Linked DNA regions of Arabidopsis thaliana. The protein of the gene in region 2 interacts with the protein of the main gene of each other region in a pairwise test. Each region holds a gene or a part of one and is shown on either strand. Other genes may lie near its edges.

Region 1 (5,937 bases), 6.5 Mb from region 2:
GTTTAAAACAATGTATATATACTTCATCGAGTCGATTAGAGAAAGCGGATTAATCCTAAAAAATTTGCACAATTGAGACTAACTTTAACTTTGCACTACCAGATTTAATAACCCCACACTCTATCATTTTTCTTTAAAAAAATTATTTCAAGAATGATAGATTTGGAACCAATTAGTTCATACCTAGTTTCAATGGTGTAATCTCATGAAGATTCATCCGTTCTCTTTAATCTACTCGATGAGATTAATTTTCTTTGAATTAAATTTTGTTATTTTTTGCTTTCAAGTATTTTCCGTTTAATCTACATTCTAGTACTATACTCCGGACCTCTAGCATTTTATTTCTAAAATTTTCTATGTAAACTTTTTCCTCCGGATTGTACAACCAATCACTTATGTGTTTAAGGGTAAGAAAAATATGTATATGTTGAAAACTCGACCATGATTGTTCTGTCGGACTGGTTCATTTCTGAAATTAGTCGAGCGGATTAAATTGGTTGTAGTTGGCCATGTCCGTTCTACATATATTAACTGCAGTAATGTTTTGTGATAAATCAGGCAACTAACGGGAGTGGAATTAAATGGTTTGAGCGTTAAGGAGTTACAAAACATAGAGAGTCAACTTGAAATGAGTTTACGTGGAATTCGTATGAAAAGGGTAATATATGAATGCTCTAGGCCTCTAGCTGGTTCGCATGATGCTTAAAAATTGATAATAGAGCATTGAAGTTTAAGCTAATTATTCTTTTCGAACCTTGCAGGAACAAATTTTGACCAATGAAATTAAAGAGCTAACCAGAAAGGTAAACTATATGATATAACACATGATTATTAAAAATCAGACTCGGATGTTGTTGTTTGTGTTTACATTGTAAACACACATAATTTGCAGATGTAAAATGCAAACGATATTTTTAGTTTCTTCTTCGGTTTGTGTTTGCATTTGCAATTTACAAAAAAATCTGTTCTTTGAGAAAAGATACTAAAGATGTTGTGTTTAAGTTTGAAACGCATTATTAATCAATGTTATCATTTCTAGTTTTCAGGTTCTTATAAGTGTTTTATCTTTTGCAGAGGAATCTTGTTCATCATGAAAACCTCGAATTGTCGAGAAAAGTACAAAGGATTCATCAAGAAAATGTCGAACTATACAAGAAGGTAAAATAGAAACACAAACTTCATTACTTCAAGTTGCAGCTAACAAATCCTTTAAATCAAATTAATCTCCTAGTTGAAACTAGACAAATCTCAATAATTAATTATTGAGATCGTACGTAGTTACAAAAGTGTGTTGTGGTAATGGTCTTGCATACAGGCTTATGGAACGTCGAACACAAATGGATTGGGACATCATGAGCTAGTAGATGCAGTTTATGAATCCCATGCACAGGTTAGGCTGCAGCTAAGCCAGCCTGAGCAGTCCCATTATAAGACATCTTCAAACAGCTAAGATCATATAAGAGATATATAACAAATTGTTCGTTCTTGATTATCTCAAAACCCTTTCAAATATATATACGTGCATATTATATATGAAGACTCGTTTGACTATGTCAATATATATGTTTTCATGCAGGAGTAAGTGTGAGTGTAATCATGTCGGAGAGCAAACCAAAGGTTTGATTTGTACGATATATACTTATATATGGTCTCAAGTGAAAGCAATGGAACAGCTTCTCGATTATATTCTTTTTAGCTTTCACATTTGGTTTTAAGTACATAATTAAGACATACATGAACTACATATATAATATATATTTTAACTAAAAAAATTGAGTGTGATATAGGTTGGTTTAGTATATAAGCTATACTTTACCTAAAGTAAAATCAGAGCTCACTTTTGTGTGTGTGTGTTTGTTTTTGTTAGTCATTGAGATTTTTAATAAAGGGAGATTCATTTGAGATGATTGCTTCTATAGTTTAGAGAAAATTTGCAAAACAAAAAGAGTATACTATATATTGTCGTTTCAGGTAAAACGATGCAAAAAGTCAGCCTAGAAATTAACGAAGTTACATGACCATGACCAACATATGAAAACTGCATTGTTTAACATATCTCTGAAAAGATTATGTTTTTGGTCGTATTAAAATAACAAAAACGAAGTAAAAAAAATCTCAGATGTGAAATCAAACTAAGAGGAGCTAGGAGAAGAAAAATAAACCCTAATTTCCTTGGGATGTAAATTTTCACCGGTCGTACAATATAGGATTTTATGTGATTCAAAATTTTAGTCCAAAAGTAGAGGGTTATAAGTTTCTCGGTTTGAATAAATTAATTTAGTGATTTTGATTTAGCGCTTAAATTTGATTGTAAACACAGTTCACTCTATTATATACTATTGTCCAATATTTTGCATACTGTAATCCACTTTTAACCTACAAAAATATTGATATAATTAGTCCGGTTTACTGCTAATTGAACAACCATTCAAAATTTGATTTGTTGTATAGACAATGAGTTATGCCTCATCAGAAATAATCACAACTTAAAATTATTCTAGTATGATGAAATATGTGTTCTGTTTTGTAAATATTATAGATACAACCTATAAATAGTTATACAAGTTACAACCAATGAGCATACCGAATAATTCACTTGACTTTAAAACAAACGTATCTTGAATTCAAAGATTAAAGATTGGTTGTAATAGTATATATGCACGAAGAACCAAGAATTGCTCAATTTTTAATTGATAGTGACATTTGAATAGAACGAAAAAGATTGAACACTAACTAAGCAATCTACCAAAATATTAAACCAAACCACATAATATCAAATATCTTAAATTATAAAATAGCCCCTATATTTCCTCTTTATCTCATAAAACACCCGTTTCTTCTTCTAATCTTAACTTCTTCTTCATCAATCACACATCATCTAAAAGAAAAACAACCTACGATAAAATTCAGAAACTTTTTCTCTGAGACACCAAAAAAGGAAGGTGACCCTCCTTCTCTAATCGATTGCTTAATCATTTCTGCCGTTGGATTGAATCGAAAAAGGGCGAATTATTTAAAAAGCTTCAGAATTTGAAATCGAAATCTGTGAGTACTGTTGTGTTTGTGGAAGAGAGAGTTTTGGGGTTTAATAATGGCGAAAGCTGGAGGGATCACGAACGCAGTAAACGTAGGAATCGCTGTTCAAGCAGATTGGGAGAATCGAGAATTTATCTCACATATCTCTCTTAATGTTCGTCGTCTCTTCGAATTCCTTGTTCAATTTGGTAAACCTCACTCTCTCACTTATTTCTCTGTGTTGGGTTTTGAATTCAATTGACTAATTTTGGAGTTTTCTCGATTTCGTATTTGCTAAATTTAGAAACTTTGTTTTAGAGTTTTTGTCAAAGTAAGGTTTTTGATGATTGGGAGATTTGATTTTGGTGGTTGGTTAGTGAAAAATTTCACCTTTTTAATTGTTGAGATGATCAGATTTCATTTGCATTTGTATGGTCTTAGATCCATGTGCTAAGAGAGATCTTTGTAATGATCTCTTTGATCTTCTCAGCTTCAATTCTAGCTGGTTTTAGACAATGTTGTGTGTGATGAAACTTTCTTTTATGAGCTAATTTGATTATCGAAGTCATTGATGTCTGTGAGTTTGTAATTTCTCTGTGTGTTTCAGAATCAACCACAAAGAGCAAGTTGGCTTCTTTGAATGAGAAGTTGGATCTGTTGGAACGTCGCTTGGAAATGCTGGAGGTGCAAGTAAGTACCGCGACAGCAAATCCTTCTCTGTTTGCGACGTGAAACACCGTAGACGATATCGAAATCGAAACCGAGCCTGATCCTTTGGCTTTAACAGAAGAAGTCTGTTGTTGAATGTGTACCATTGAATGATTCTTTCTTTCTTCACATAGCTGTGGTAGTAAGTAAACTAGTAGCTTAAAATATGAATCTATTCATAAATATGTGTATCTTTTTTCTGTCCATTAAGATCTCTTTTGAATGACAAGTCATTTCGTTGAACTCTTGAAGTTTTTGCTTTCTTCTGCTGTTGATTTATAAACTTTGCAGAGGTACCCTTTTCATCTTCTATGCATCGGATTTGTATATTCGTCTTTTCTCTTAAAGTGGAACACATGTAAAACGCTCTTGTTGCCCATTTTTTCTTTTTCATCAATGGAGGAAGAAAAAACCGAAAAAGCTCACATCTCTTTTCCTCCATTAGATTCTGTCTGCATTTGTGACTCACATTGTTTTTTTGAGTTCCACTCGGATTCATCGAGACCGACCTAATCGTCTCCACCCGTACGTACTATGAGATCACCCCACGGATGCCTACGATATCCAGGGGTCGCGGACCAACCATAGAACCAAGCCATTGTTGAAAATATTCTGTTTTACGTACCTAAACCACAAAGTTCTGTAGACTATGGATGATTGACCATTTTTAAAAAAATATTCTGAACTCAGTTTTTGTTTTGTCTGAATTGAGATTTGCTGTGTTGACCAAGCTTCCAAGCTTGAAGCTGCAAACAAGAGTGAGAACTGAGAAGTAAACAATGGTACTCTTATTGTCTGTTTTTCTTCCAAGAAGTTAGTTCAGAAGGAAGTAATTCTTCATTGCAACTTAAAACAGCTTTAGACATGAGTTTCCCAAGCCAAGCATGATAGAGTAGTCCCCTTGATCCGAGCCCTGAAAATACCCAGAAGTTGCAAAACTGACCAGCACCTATGAGCTGATTAACACATCCCAAGAGCGGCAGTGATCCATGGCTTGTGACAGGTGGCATTGCTCTCAAGCCCGCCCTTGCTCCCGCAAATTCCCACTTTTCTATGTCTGGATAAACTGCACTTGCTTTCGGAAGAAGCTCGTTGAGAGCTCTTGAAGCTTCCTCTGCTGGGACATCCGATGAATAATTTCTTGATTGCCATTCCCATGTGGATCCCATGTGCAGATTACGGGGTCCCTGAACCGCGAGCCACGCATCTGACAAGATCGAAGGTCCATCGTCCGGGTAACTTCCTCTGCATTACATAATTTAATAAAGAAAAGCTTTTGAACAGGAAAAAAAAACCACAAAGATAAGTAGCTGAGCTCAACATAGTAATGTGCGAGTATGCGACTACATCAACACATACTTTCTTTTTTTGGAAGGTCTCACACTAAAAAAAAACAGAGAAGAATTGTACAATTGAAAGAGGATGTAAAGTTGACATCAGAGTTGAAAAAGAATACTAGGAATGGATAACTATAGGCGCAAGGTCTCGCAATACCTGGCACTCTCGTGTAACTGCATATGAGTAATGACACCTCGGCATGTCCTTAAAGGGAGCTTTCCAGTAAGCCCTGGAAGAAAGTCTACCTTGGATCCAAGACATATTACTACTGCATCATATCCTCCTACATATAACAACACAAAAGCTGTTCATACTAAATTTCTGACCATGCGGATGAGAACCTCAGAGAAAAAGCATGGATACTATACTCTTGGATTGTTAACGGCTATCTAAATTGTGTTTACGGTCTCTAGATTTAAGTTTATCACATCAGTTTTCATGCCTGTGAAACTTGATCCAAAAGGACTAGTTGTGGTTGGAGGATGTTTCTATAAAGCTTACGCAAGTTCCAGAATTAAACAAAAATATAAGAATATAGTTCAAAATCATTCACCTTCAAGTTCAAGCACATCAGTTATAGACTTGTTCACCAAAGTTATGTTTTTCCTTCCCAGTGATGTTTTTGCTGAGCTCTGGCATGCTAGAAAGAGTGCCTAGAGAAGGGAGAAAAACTCGGTAAAGAAAAACGCAAAAGCTTGGTGCTAACATATTTGTGTTGTCTTAACCTGGAGATATCGGTGCGGATTAACATTCATAGCTCCTGGAAAATAGAAGGCGCAGTTCAAAGGCAGGTATAGATTGGGGACGAGATTTTGTGCACCATCTTTGTCAATAGTCTCTACTACACAACTAGCAAGACAGTTTCGAGCATTCTAA
Region 2 (10,190 bases):
ACTGTGATAATTGGGAATCTTTCAGTGTATTGTGTACTGCTTGGATTCCGATTATAGCTTTTAGGTAAAAGAAAATTTCAGTATGCAATGAGTCATTCATACACCATGTTCACATAAATGAAAGGACTGGTAACAAAACTTAACTTCTGTTTTTCTTGACACACACAAGTACAATCCTTGATAACCTTAAAACAACATTATTGTACCAAAACACAGTAGAAAGTAAAAGAAATTAAAAAGAAACTTGATAGAACAAGCAACATCATATGGTTCTTCATCATGTAAGATAGGCATCGCAATGCAAGAAGTCCCATATAGTTCCAAGAGCATCTCGTAGCATCTCCAAAACACAACCCCTCTCAGTGTTCTGCTCCTGCAGACCACAAGTATTATCACCATAAGCCTCGCACTTCCATTAGAGTTTCTAAAATAGTACAAGAGCACAATAATTTACCTGTATTTTAGTGTCGATGTCTTTAAGCGTCAAACTCACCTCCCTCTTGGTTTCCCCTGTTCCAGTCGTCTCATTGAATCTATCAGTCTCTCTTACCCTAAGCCTTAGAGTTTTATTTTTGTAGATAGTAGCTCTAACGTGACAAACTTCAAATTCTTTGTATCCATCTTCAGATAAAGCTTTACCAAACGGCCACCTTAAACCGCCTTTTACATTTGGATCAACAGTTGCTGATTCCAATAGCGCTTTAATGTCACCTATCTCTTTATCCTGCCGATCAAAGAAAGATCACACAACCTAAGTCTAAGAAGAGCATATTATTTATCCATATATTGTAAAATATATATACCAAACTTGAACTTACACTGAGATACGTTATTTCCCTCTTAGCGGTGAGCGTTAGTCTCATGTCGAGATTCTTATCAATGCATGACACATCAACAACCAAATGCCTTACAGGATTAAGGTCGACCTATATAAAAGCAAAACTCAAGATTCAAAGTTAGATATTAAAGGAAGACCAAGTAAAAATGTGACATCTATCAAATTCTTGTTTGTTTTTCTTGCTAGTCCGAGAACAATAAAGAAGAGATTTTACTATTGGTTGTAGTCACTACACACATAAAACTCGAGACTTGCCTTGTACATACTGAGCCGTCCATCTTCCTTACGGGTACATTTACAGTTGATGGTTGCATTAGGACGAGAATAATGCGATACCTAAAAATAGAAGCCAAACCCAAATTAGCACATTCAAATGACATTCGAAGTATAGATCTAAATCTAAGAAAATGAAACGAGTACCTTCACAGTGTATGTTTCCTTCTCCTTATCAATAGAGAATCCATGGCTTGGTACAACATTAGATTTTATGTGTTGTAAGTAAGACATTGGGAGATCAGTAGAGAACATCTTATTCAAGTTTTTTAGTGAACATTCAGCCACAGGACCAGCTTGACTCCTGGTTTAAAGTTGTATATGTTAGAAAAAATATAAACCCATTCCTGAAAACAGCAAAATGTGAGATCAGACGGTGAATCGCTTACCCATAGAAGAAAATTTTACCAAACCGAGCAACCAGTCTCGATACATGATGATGCTCCTTCATTTCAGTCTTAACTCGCTCATATGCCAACACAAGATCCTCCATAACCTTCTCAGCTACTAATAGCCACTGAGTTCTCTCATCCTTCCTCTCTCCAATATTCATATTCACTGAATATAAACATATAAAAAACCATACTCAACATAGATACAATGCATCTTCTTTTGGCAAAAACGATAATAGCACAAACAAAATAGTTAATAGTATTGTTTATTTCAGCATCTAGATGATATTCATTTTGTCAAACACATAGCCAAAGTCTACTAATAGTTTCTTACCATTTTGGACATTGTTGTTCATCAGTATTGAAGGCTTTTCTCCTTTTCTACACTCGACAGAATCTGAGGACAAGGGCACAAACTTAACATACGAAGGAACATCGTCCTCAATTCCATTTGAACCAACAAGAAACCATTTGGAAATGGAATCTCCTGAATAGATAATCTTGTTGCGTTTAACACTGCTAGTGCTACTCTTAAAGTCAAGGTTCTTCTTGAATTTTGTAACAAGAGAATCTGGAACAGGGGTAGGCTTTGTCGGATCCTTCGAATGCCTCTTATGTGGTGGAATATAAGACATGTCTAAACCTGAAACTCACAACAACATCAACCAAAAACGATTTCAAGATAAAACAAAAAAATCTCAAACTTGGAGCTCAAATAAGAATTGCTTTACAACGAGCGAAGAAGAATATAAAGACAGAAACTTTAAGGTGAGAAGAGAGAAGTCGAATCATACCTGTAGGCTGTAGTCGAAACTCAACGTCTTTTAATATTCCTGCAGAGAAGTAACAGTGACACTCAAATAGACTCTTCGCTCCCTTTTTAATCTTTCAATTAACTCTCATCCGTTTCTCAAAAATGACTTTAATTAGATTGTGTTTGGTTTCGATAGGGATCACAATTGGACAAACCTCAAGCCTGAAACTATCAGGTTCCCGAGGGGTTTGGTCTTAAATGCAGGTTTTATTGCAACAAGGTTTTGGTTTTGTAAGAATTTTTCACTAAAAGTAACAATTTTTTAAGTATTTCTGGCTATCGAAAAATAGAAAAAGAAATGTTTTCTTAAAAAGTCTTTTAGCGTTGAGGTTCTCAGACTCTCTCTCTCTCTCTTTGCCCCTACCTATATCCGCCGTCTTGAATCCACAGAAAGTCCGTTTTAGTTTCCAGCTAAGTGATGTCGTCACATATCTAATGGTGGTCGGTCACTACTTAAATGAAGACAGAGAAGCTTTTCTAGTCTTCTTCTTTCTAAAGTTCTTACCTTTAGAATTTGAACAAAAGTATCAGCGAGCTGATCAGACAGAGAAGCTCAAACAATGCCGTTGACGAGGTACCAATCTCGTAACGAGTATGGATTAGCAGATCCGGATCTGTATCAAGCTGCTGATAAAGATGACCCTGAAGCTCTGCTTGAAGGAGTCGCTATGGCTGGTCTCGTTGGCATTTTGCGTCAACTCGGTGATCTCGCTGAGTAAGTTTCTCTCCAATCGAAATTTCTCTAATTGATCTCTAAGCGCATCGAATTCGAAGTTTTGGAATCCGTTGTTGTAAAGCGACAATTTTGATGAATCTGGATTTGGTTGTGGAAGTGGAAAAAGTTTTGATTTTTTGATGGAATTGTCTTTAAATTCATGTAATTTGTGATGAAGGTTTGCTGCTGAGATGTTTCATGACTTGCACGAAGAAGTAATGGCTACTGCTTCTAGAAGCCATGGTTTAATGGCTCGTGTGCAACAGTTGGAAGCAGAGTTTCCTTCTATAGAGAAGGCATTACTGTGTCAAACCGATCATTCGCCGTTTTTCTCTAACAAAGGTTAGATTGCTATGAACATTCATGATCTGGTCAGCTACTATGATGTTGGATTATTTCAACATGATTCTGTGACTCTATTTCAGGTGTGGAATGGCATCCGAATCTACAATTGGAACAGAGTGTGGTTACAAGTGGTGACTTACCTCGTTGTGTGATGGATTCTTATGAGGAATGTCGAGGTCCTCCAAGGCTATTTCTTCTGGACAAGTATGATTTAGCCTTGTTTGATAGGACTTCTTCTTTAGTCGTTTGTTAGAGAAGGATATATGTAACATCTTCTGATGGTTTTGATTAGGTTTGATATTTCCGGAGCTGGGGCTTGTTTGAAACGCTACACCGATCCATCGTTTGTTAGGCTTGAAACGTCTTCATATGAAGAATCATGGGATGATATTCAGAGAGAGAAAAAATCACAGAAAGCAAAGGTACTAGCTTCTTAGTTCAGGTTGTAGCTTATGGGTTGCAGTGTGATCCTTCTTGGTTATATTTTGGTTTCCATTACATGGTAGATTTTCTGAATAGTAGATTTTCTTATGCTCATGGTGTTTTGAATGTGTAATCTTACCTTCCATTTTGTGATTCTCATAGTTTTCCTTCTATTCTCTTGTAGAGGAGAGCATCTCAGTGGAGGAATGGAGGGACACCTGAAAATGCATTATCATCACATGCCAAGTGAGTATTATCTATTTTATGTCTTGTGTGTTTGTCATTTCTGTTATGATATATATGTAGTTCCTATATTGGTATCTGACTGTGACTAAAAATGGCTGGTTTCAATTATTCAACTGGCACAGATTGCATGAATTGTTTTTGGAGGAGCATTTAGAGGCTCATCATTCAGATCCAGCGCGCGTTGTGAAGTTGAAAACCAGAAAGCTAGATGGGTGTTCCCTTATTTCAAAATCAGGGGAAAGCTACATGGAGAAATTTGTGCAGACACGTGTAGATAGTAAGATAAGTTATGAAATAATTACCCAAAACCCCGGATTGTTGACATGGAATATGGATAGTGCTAGAGATGTAGTAACCGATATACCTGAAATCAGTATGGTGGGTGCTATGGATAAGTCTCATGGAGGAAGCAGAGCAGAGGTTTCATTCCCAAGTGAGCAGGAAAATGTGGCAAATGTTAACATGAATGGGGGTTTTATTGAAAAAGATATAGAGACAGTGCCTGAATCTACATACAATGAGGTCCGTGGAACAACTATTACACAGGATTCACAAACGGTTTTGAACGGGAAGCCAGGATTTTTTCAACAGAGGAGTTATTCTGAAGATTTAACCAGTGAGGCTGACAATTATGTGGACGCACCAGCCACCATGGAGTCGGAAACAGAAACAGACGATGAGTGTAGACCTAAGAGTAGATCAGATACTTTGAAGGATGGGAACCATCATATATATTCTGATGCGGTTGAAGAGAGAATGGAGGACCCACCTCAGTTTTCATTTTCTCATTCAAATGGAAACACACCAGTTTCGGAAAATGGGCGAAGCTCGTTTGGGAAAAAGAGCACTAGTTATTCTTACTCGGACACTGCAAGCATATCCATTGATGATCAATCTGATGGAGAGAAACTTTCGGGATGTTTACCTTCTACTTCTAGTTTTAAGAGTGAGTTGGTGGATTCTATGTCTCACGTTACTCCTGAAGCCAACAAAGTGTCTCATGACTTGAATGTTCAGGAATCAGTTAGTAGCAGCAATGTAGATGGCCAGACATCATTAAGTTCGAATGGTACATGTTCAAGTCCAAGGCCAGTCTCTCAGAATGATCAATCATGTTCACTGACAGTTCAATCTTTAGCATCAGAAGTCGTTGAAACTTCTCCAGAACTTGTTAGGCTTGATCTAATGAAGGGAGGCAATGATGGAAGAAAGGTGGATCCATTCGATTCTTCAAAATCTTGTGCATCTTTTGATGCTAAAAACTCTGACTTGCCTTCTGAAACTTCATCAATTAGTTCAACTTCTGAAGGAAGCAGATGTGATAGTACCATTGAGAAGAACTGTATGGTTGCTTCAAATTTAGTAAACTCAGGCACTAGTCCTCAAGCGTTTGTTGATAGTCAAACTGGTAAACAGTTACCTATCGCTGATACTGATTTTGAGACAAACTCTATAGTTGCTTGTTCTGAAGTTTTAGCAAACTCAGGCAGCGATCCTGAAGAACGTGATGGTCGTTGCCTAACAGGAAAGCTGGTACCTTGCTCAGCTGGGGTGGGGATGGAAGTTTCCCCTGATACGCCCTCTAAAGTCTGTGGTCCAAGTTCAGCTGATGGAATTCACTTAAAAGATACTCTGGATGATGAAACCGATTGTGTTTCAGTGACTAATGTTGTTGTTGACGTTGATTCTAAAAATTCTGTTGCCGACGTTGGTTCTCAAAGTTCAGTTGCTGACATTGATTCTCAAAGTTCAGTTGCTGAGATCTCCGATGAGCATTCATGTGCCTTTGGCAACACGGCTGATGTGTCTGTTTCAGAGTCCCATGAAGACACACTAGAGAATGGAATGTCCGTGCCTTCTGATTTTAACTCGGGAGTAGAGAAATTGGCGGGAGATGCTTCACCTACTTGTAGCAAATGCGATGACCATATCTCTCATGAAGGTTTTCATGACCTTTCAGGGCTGGACAACGCAACCACAGACATTGTCCCGAACGTTGAGCTTGATGTGTCTGATAATGACAATGACACTTCCAGTGGTGGTGTTAATCATGCCGTTAGTCTGTCATCGACTCGTGGGAAGGGTTCTCTGCCTTGGATTTCGACCAATACTTATCAATCGTCTTCTGATGCTGGAGAGATTTTCCATGATACAGTTGTAGAGTCTGACGGGACACTACTGGAAGACAATAATCCAGAGTCGGAAATAAAAATGCATAAAAGCCCTCTGGAAGTGTCTTCAGAAGGTCTGAGTACTGAACCAGACAACAAGGACGTAGAAAGTATTGAATCTACAAGTCCCAAGCCATCTCTGGATCAAAGGAACAGGGACACAGAAACCAAATCTCCTGGTGAGAGCATTCTTGATGATAATTGCATAGATTCCACACAAGTGTATAATCTGAACCTTTTAGAGAGTGAGGCTATCGACCAGGCAGTTAGAGAGCAAACATCTTATGCAAGCCATGAAGTTGCAGATGAGGAATTGCTGCAGTCAAATGTTTTCAGGGGCTTAGAGTTTGAACCACAATCAGCAGGCTTAGAATTTGCACCACAATCTGCAGGTATAGAATTGAACAGACCTAAGCAAGAGTTGAATCTGGATCCTACTTTTCCTAGCTTTGGTTTTATCCCTGAGACTATTCCGCCCAATCCAGAGGACATGCCACCCCTTCCTCCTATGCAATGGCTTATTGGAAAGGTTCCACATTCTTTTCCTACCTTCATGGGGGAATCAGTCGAAACCAGTAGTTCTGCTTTATCAGCGGCACCACCCATTGGTTCTAGCTTGAATGTTCAAATTGGGTCTCCACCATCAGAGCTATCTGTATCTTTAGGAAGTGACGAATCAGAACGACTTCCTGGAGGGTTTGTTCACAATGCATCAGAAAAGCCATTGCAATCATCCATTCAGTTCCCAACCATGAGCACTGATTTGAATAGTCAATACGACAGTTCTGAGCTCCCTACAATACCTTATCAGGAGTGCATAGAGGATTTTGGTTCTGAGGAGAACAATCTTTTGGCTGACCATGCAGCTCAGAACCACGAGCTCGTTTACTCTCAAGCGTCGTCATTGCAGCTGCCTCAGGTTAAACACGAAGATTTCAAGGACGATGCTGATGTGCATGAATCTCAAAGTTCAAGCGATGATCACCATTGTCCTGAAACCAAATCCCTGACGCCAACTCAATCAACAAAGGTAGAAGATAAGGGTCATTCGGTTCCTGATGCTTCAAATGCAGAAACTGCAGAATCATCAAACACGTCAGTTCAGAAGATAAATCCTGTTTCAGTGGGAGATGCTATGTGGCCTGTTAGCTGTTTCTCTGTGGCACCTACCTTGGACACATATAAGACAGAAGTGGTCCCTACGGTTAGGCTTCCTAGGCCAAGAAGTCCGCTTGTCGATGCTGTTGCAGCTCATGACAGACGCAAGGTACAAAATTTCATCTTGTCTGCAATACCATGCCTTTGCTAAGATTATGTCTCTAATCACTTGTTCTGATGATTTGCCAGATGAAGAAAGTCTCTGAGATGGTCCATCCACCAATCAAATCAAAGCAAGATGACAAAGATTCGTTGCTTGCACAAATACGAAACAAGGTAGCACATGTTGATCATGTAAAATCCCAGATGGTCCTGTGAACAGAATTTTGTATTTGGAATTTTATGAGTTGTGTTTTGTTTATGCAGTCCGTCAATCTAAAGCCGGCAGTAACAACACGACCCAGCATCCAGACTGGTCCTAGAACAGACTTAAGGGTAGCTGCAATCTTAGAGAAAGCAAATACAATACGCATGGTTCGTTACTCTCTTTCCATCTCCTTCAAAGATAGTAAATGTTTTCAAGTTTTTTCACCTTTTTCTGTGGTCCTTGCTAATCGTAGAGGCTTCATGTCAAAGCATTTCAATTTGACATGAAAATCTGAGGAGTTTAGTCTCACATTATGTCTTAGATTGGATCCGAAGCAGTCTCTTAAGTGGAAACAATGAATTATAAGCCTGATCATAGACCAAATAAAATATCACTTTTTCTCTATCGCACACACATCTAAAACCGGTTGAACACTGGTGCAGGCAATGGCTGGAAGCGACGAGGATGAAGATTCAGATAGTTGGAGTGATTCTTGAAATCGATGATCGTTGGCTTTTCCGTGGTGTTCGTTCTTGTATCATGATGAGTGCGCAAGCACTTGGAGTCAGGTAGGTTATACAATCTCTATTTCAGACATATAACATTAAATACATACAGTCATTGGTTATTTATATATGTATGTATGTATATTGTGTACTGTTTTATAGGTGTGTGTATGTTGTAATGTAAGTAGATTCCGAAATTTGCAGTAGTTTTACGGAAATTTGTGTGTAGGAATGTTTCGTTCTTTTTTTTAGCTCATAGAACATTCTTTTAGTAGGCTATGTATGTGTATTTGAATACATACATAGATATGTATTGTGTGTTCTCAATCATTTGCAGTGTCCTTTGACTGTATATTTGGTCATTTGGATAACGAATATCTATGAGAATCAGCTAGTTAGTGCACTGCACACACTTCAAAGGTAATATTTGGTTTCTAGAGGACTGAAATGATATGATGGTTTGCTTGCTTAGTACCAATAGGATGATCTTCACAAAAATCATTTGCAGGCATAACTGAGTTTCAATTTGAACCCAAATAGAGTAGTTGGATCGAGAAGGAGGATTGGAAGTATGGCAATCCTCAATCCTCATATGTAAATCAGTTGGAAGCCTACTTAATACTTGATCTCTATTCTCGGCTGGCACCACCTGTATCCTGTCTGAATACTTGATTATCGGGATCAGACCACATCGTCCGCGCAAAATACCACCCGGAACAGCACCACCATAAGCAACAGCCTCGACCGGGTTCACACCTGAGACGTTAGGGCTAAAAGAAACTATATGAGAGTGAAAAATCCTGAGATATCATTCTTGATTACCGTTATAGTGTCTGAACTCAAAACCTTAGACGAACTCATGCTACTAAAAAAAACAAGGAGACGAGAGCGAAAGAATGCAATTGTGAAGAATTTATGATGGCCTTTATATAGACAGAGCTCTTTATTCAGTAACCGTTATGAAATAGCAAGGAGCTAGTCTTAATTTCTAGTGGGCTAGGGAAAAAAATAAAAAAATTCTAGTGGGCTTAAGAGCTAGGCCCATAAGATATTTTAATATTATTTTATACAATGAGACCAAACCAAAACCAAACAAGAGATTGAGAAGAAAACCGATTTTTTCCTTTTATTTATTTTTATGTTTATAAATTAAAAATGGGAAAATCGATTCCCGTCAAAACAGGGCTAAGAGGAGCTTCCGCAGCAGTAGCTGGATTCATCAAATCCTCAAAACCGATCCGACCCATTTCCTCCATGGACAGTTCCGACAAAGATTCATCATCCACCACCACCACCAGCGAAACTACACGACGTTTCGTTCCGCTTTCATCGGTGGTTTCTGATTGTGCGAAGCGGTGGTTTAAAGACACTCTTGAGGAAGCTAAAGCTGGGAACATCACTATGCAGGTTTTGTTAGGTCAGATGTATTACTCTGGGTATGGAGTCCCTAAGGATGCTAGAAAGGTTTCGTCTTTATTCCCTCCCTTTCAATCTCTTCTTTTCCAAGTTTTAGGTTTTTTTAGTTTGGTTGATTTGAAAATTCTCTAATTTGATTAGATTGATTTGCAAGTTTCTTCTTTTTTAGGTTTTTGAATTTGATTCTGTGTTTTATTAATGATTAGGGGAGACTTTGGATTACGAAAGCATCAAGAGTTCGTTCTTCAGTGTGGAAAGTGATAGATAAACGACCAGGTCTTTGTTTTATTACATGTCAAAATTGGTTTATCAACAAATTGGTTCTTTTTTGCTTTTGGATATGAATTTGTTTTTTTTGTGATTTCTCAGGTTACAACGCAAGTGATTCAGATTCAGAGTCTGATTAGCATGTCCTGATCGAGAGAGCTTGTGTTTGTTCTGTTTTGTTTCAATCTTGGATGATCCAAGTTCCAACAATGAACAATATCTTCTCTCTGCGCATATCTTTTGATGCTTGCTAATCATTTTGTAGCTCTATTACTCAAATATGTCTTCTTTTTTTATTTTGTTTAAATTTTGGTGAATG

Evidence for each region.
Region 1: the proteins of SCAR2 (region 2) and BRK1 interact in binary tests that used the Arabidopsis thaliana proteins (3 or more experiments, as listed by UniProt).

The regions. Positions count from the first base shown.
Region 1 is NC_003071.7:9,620,192-9,626,128, forward strand, and holds BRK1 (BRICK1), read left to right. Parts: upstream 1-2,805; 5' UTR 2,806-3,091; coding exon 3,092-3,224; intron 3,225-3,622; coding exon 3,623-3,747; 3' UTR 3,748-4,144; downstream 4,145-5,937. Other genes in the region: AGL17 (AGAMOUS-like 17), read left to right, coding at 559-658, 762-803, 1,075-1,158, 1,316-1,450; AT2G22650 (FAD-dependent oxidoreductase family protein), read right to left, coding at 4,512-4,968, 5,218-5,344, 5,615-5,714, 5,787-5,933. UniProt on the Arabidopsis thaliana protein: Involved in regulation of actin and microtubule organization. Part of a WAVE complex that activates the Arp2/3 complex.
Region 2 is NC_003071.7:16,092,673-16,102,862, forward strand, and holds SCAR2 (SCAR homolog 2), read left to right. Parts: upstream 1-2,562; 5' UTR 2,563-2,877; coding exon 2,878-3,032; intron 3,033-3,210; coding exon 3,211-3,374; intron 3,375-3,457; coding exon 3,458-3,581; intron 3,582-3,669; coding exon 3,670-3,799; intron 3,800-3,984; coding exon 3,985-4,046; intron 4,047-4,168; coding exon 4,169-7,484; intron 7,485-7,564; coding exon 7,565-7,651; intron 7,652-7,741; coding exon 7,742-7,849; intron 7,850-8,125; coding exon 8,126-8,179; 3' UTR 8,180-8,549; downstream 8,550-10,190. Other genes in the region: AT2G38430 (uncharacterized protein), read right to left, coding at 278-373, 455-724, 819-926, 1,094-1,174, 1,259-1,415, 1,501-1,669, 1,838-2,138; AT2G38450 (Sel1 repeat protein), read left to right, coding at 9,344-9,652, 9,811-9,880, 9,974-10,011.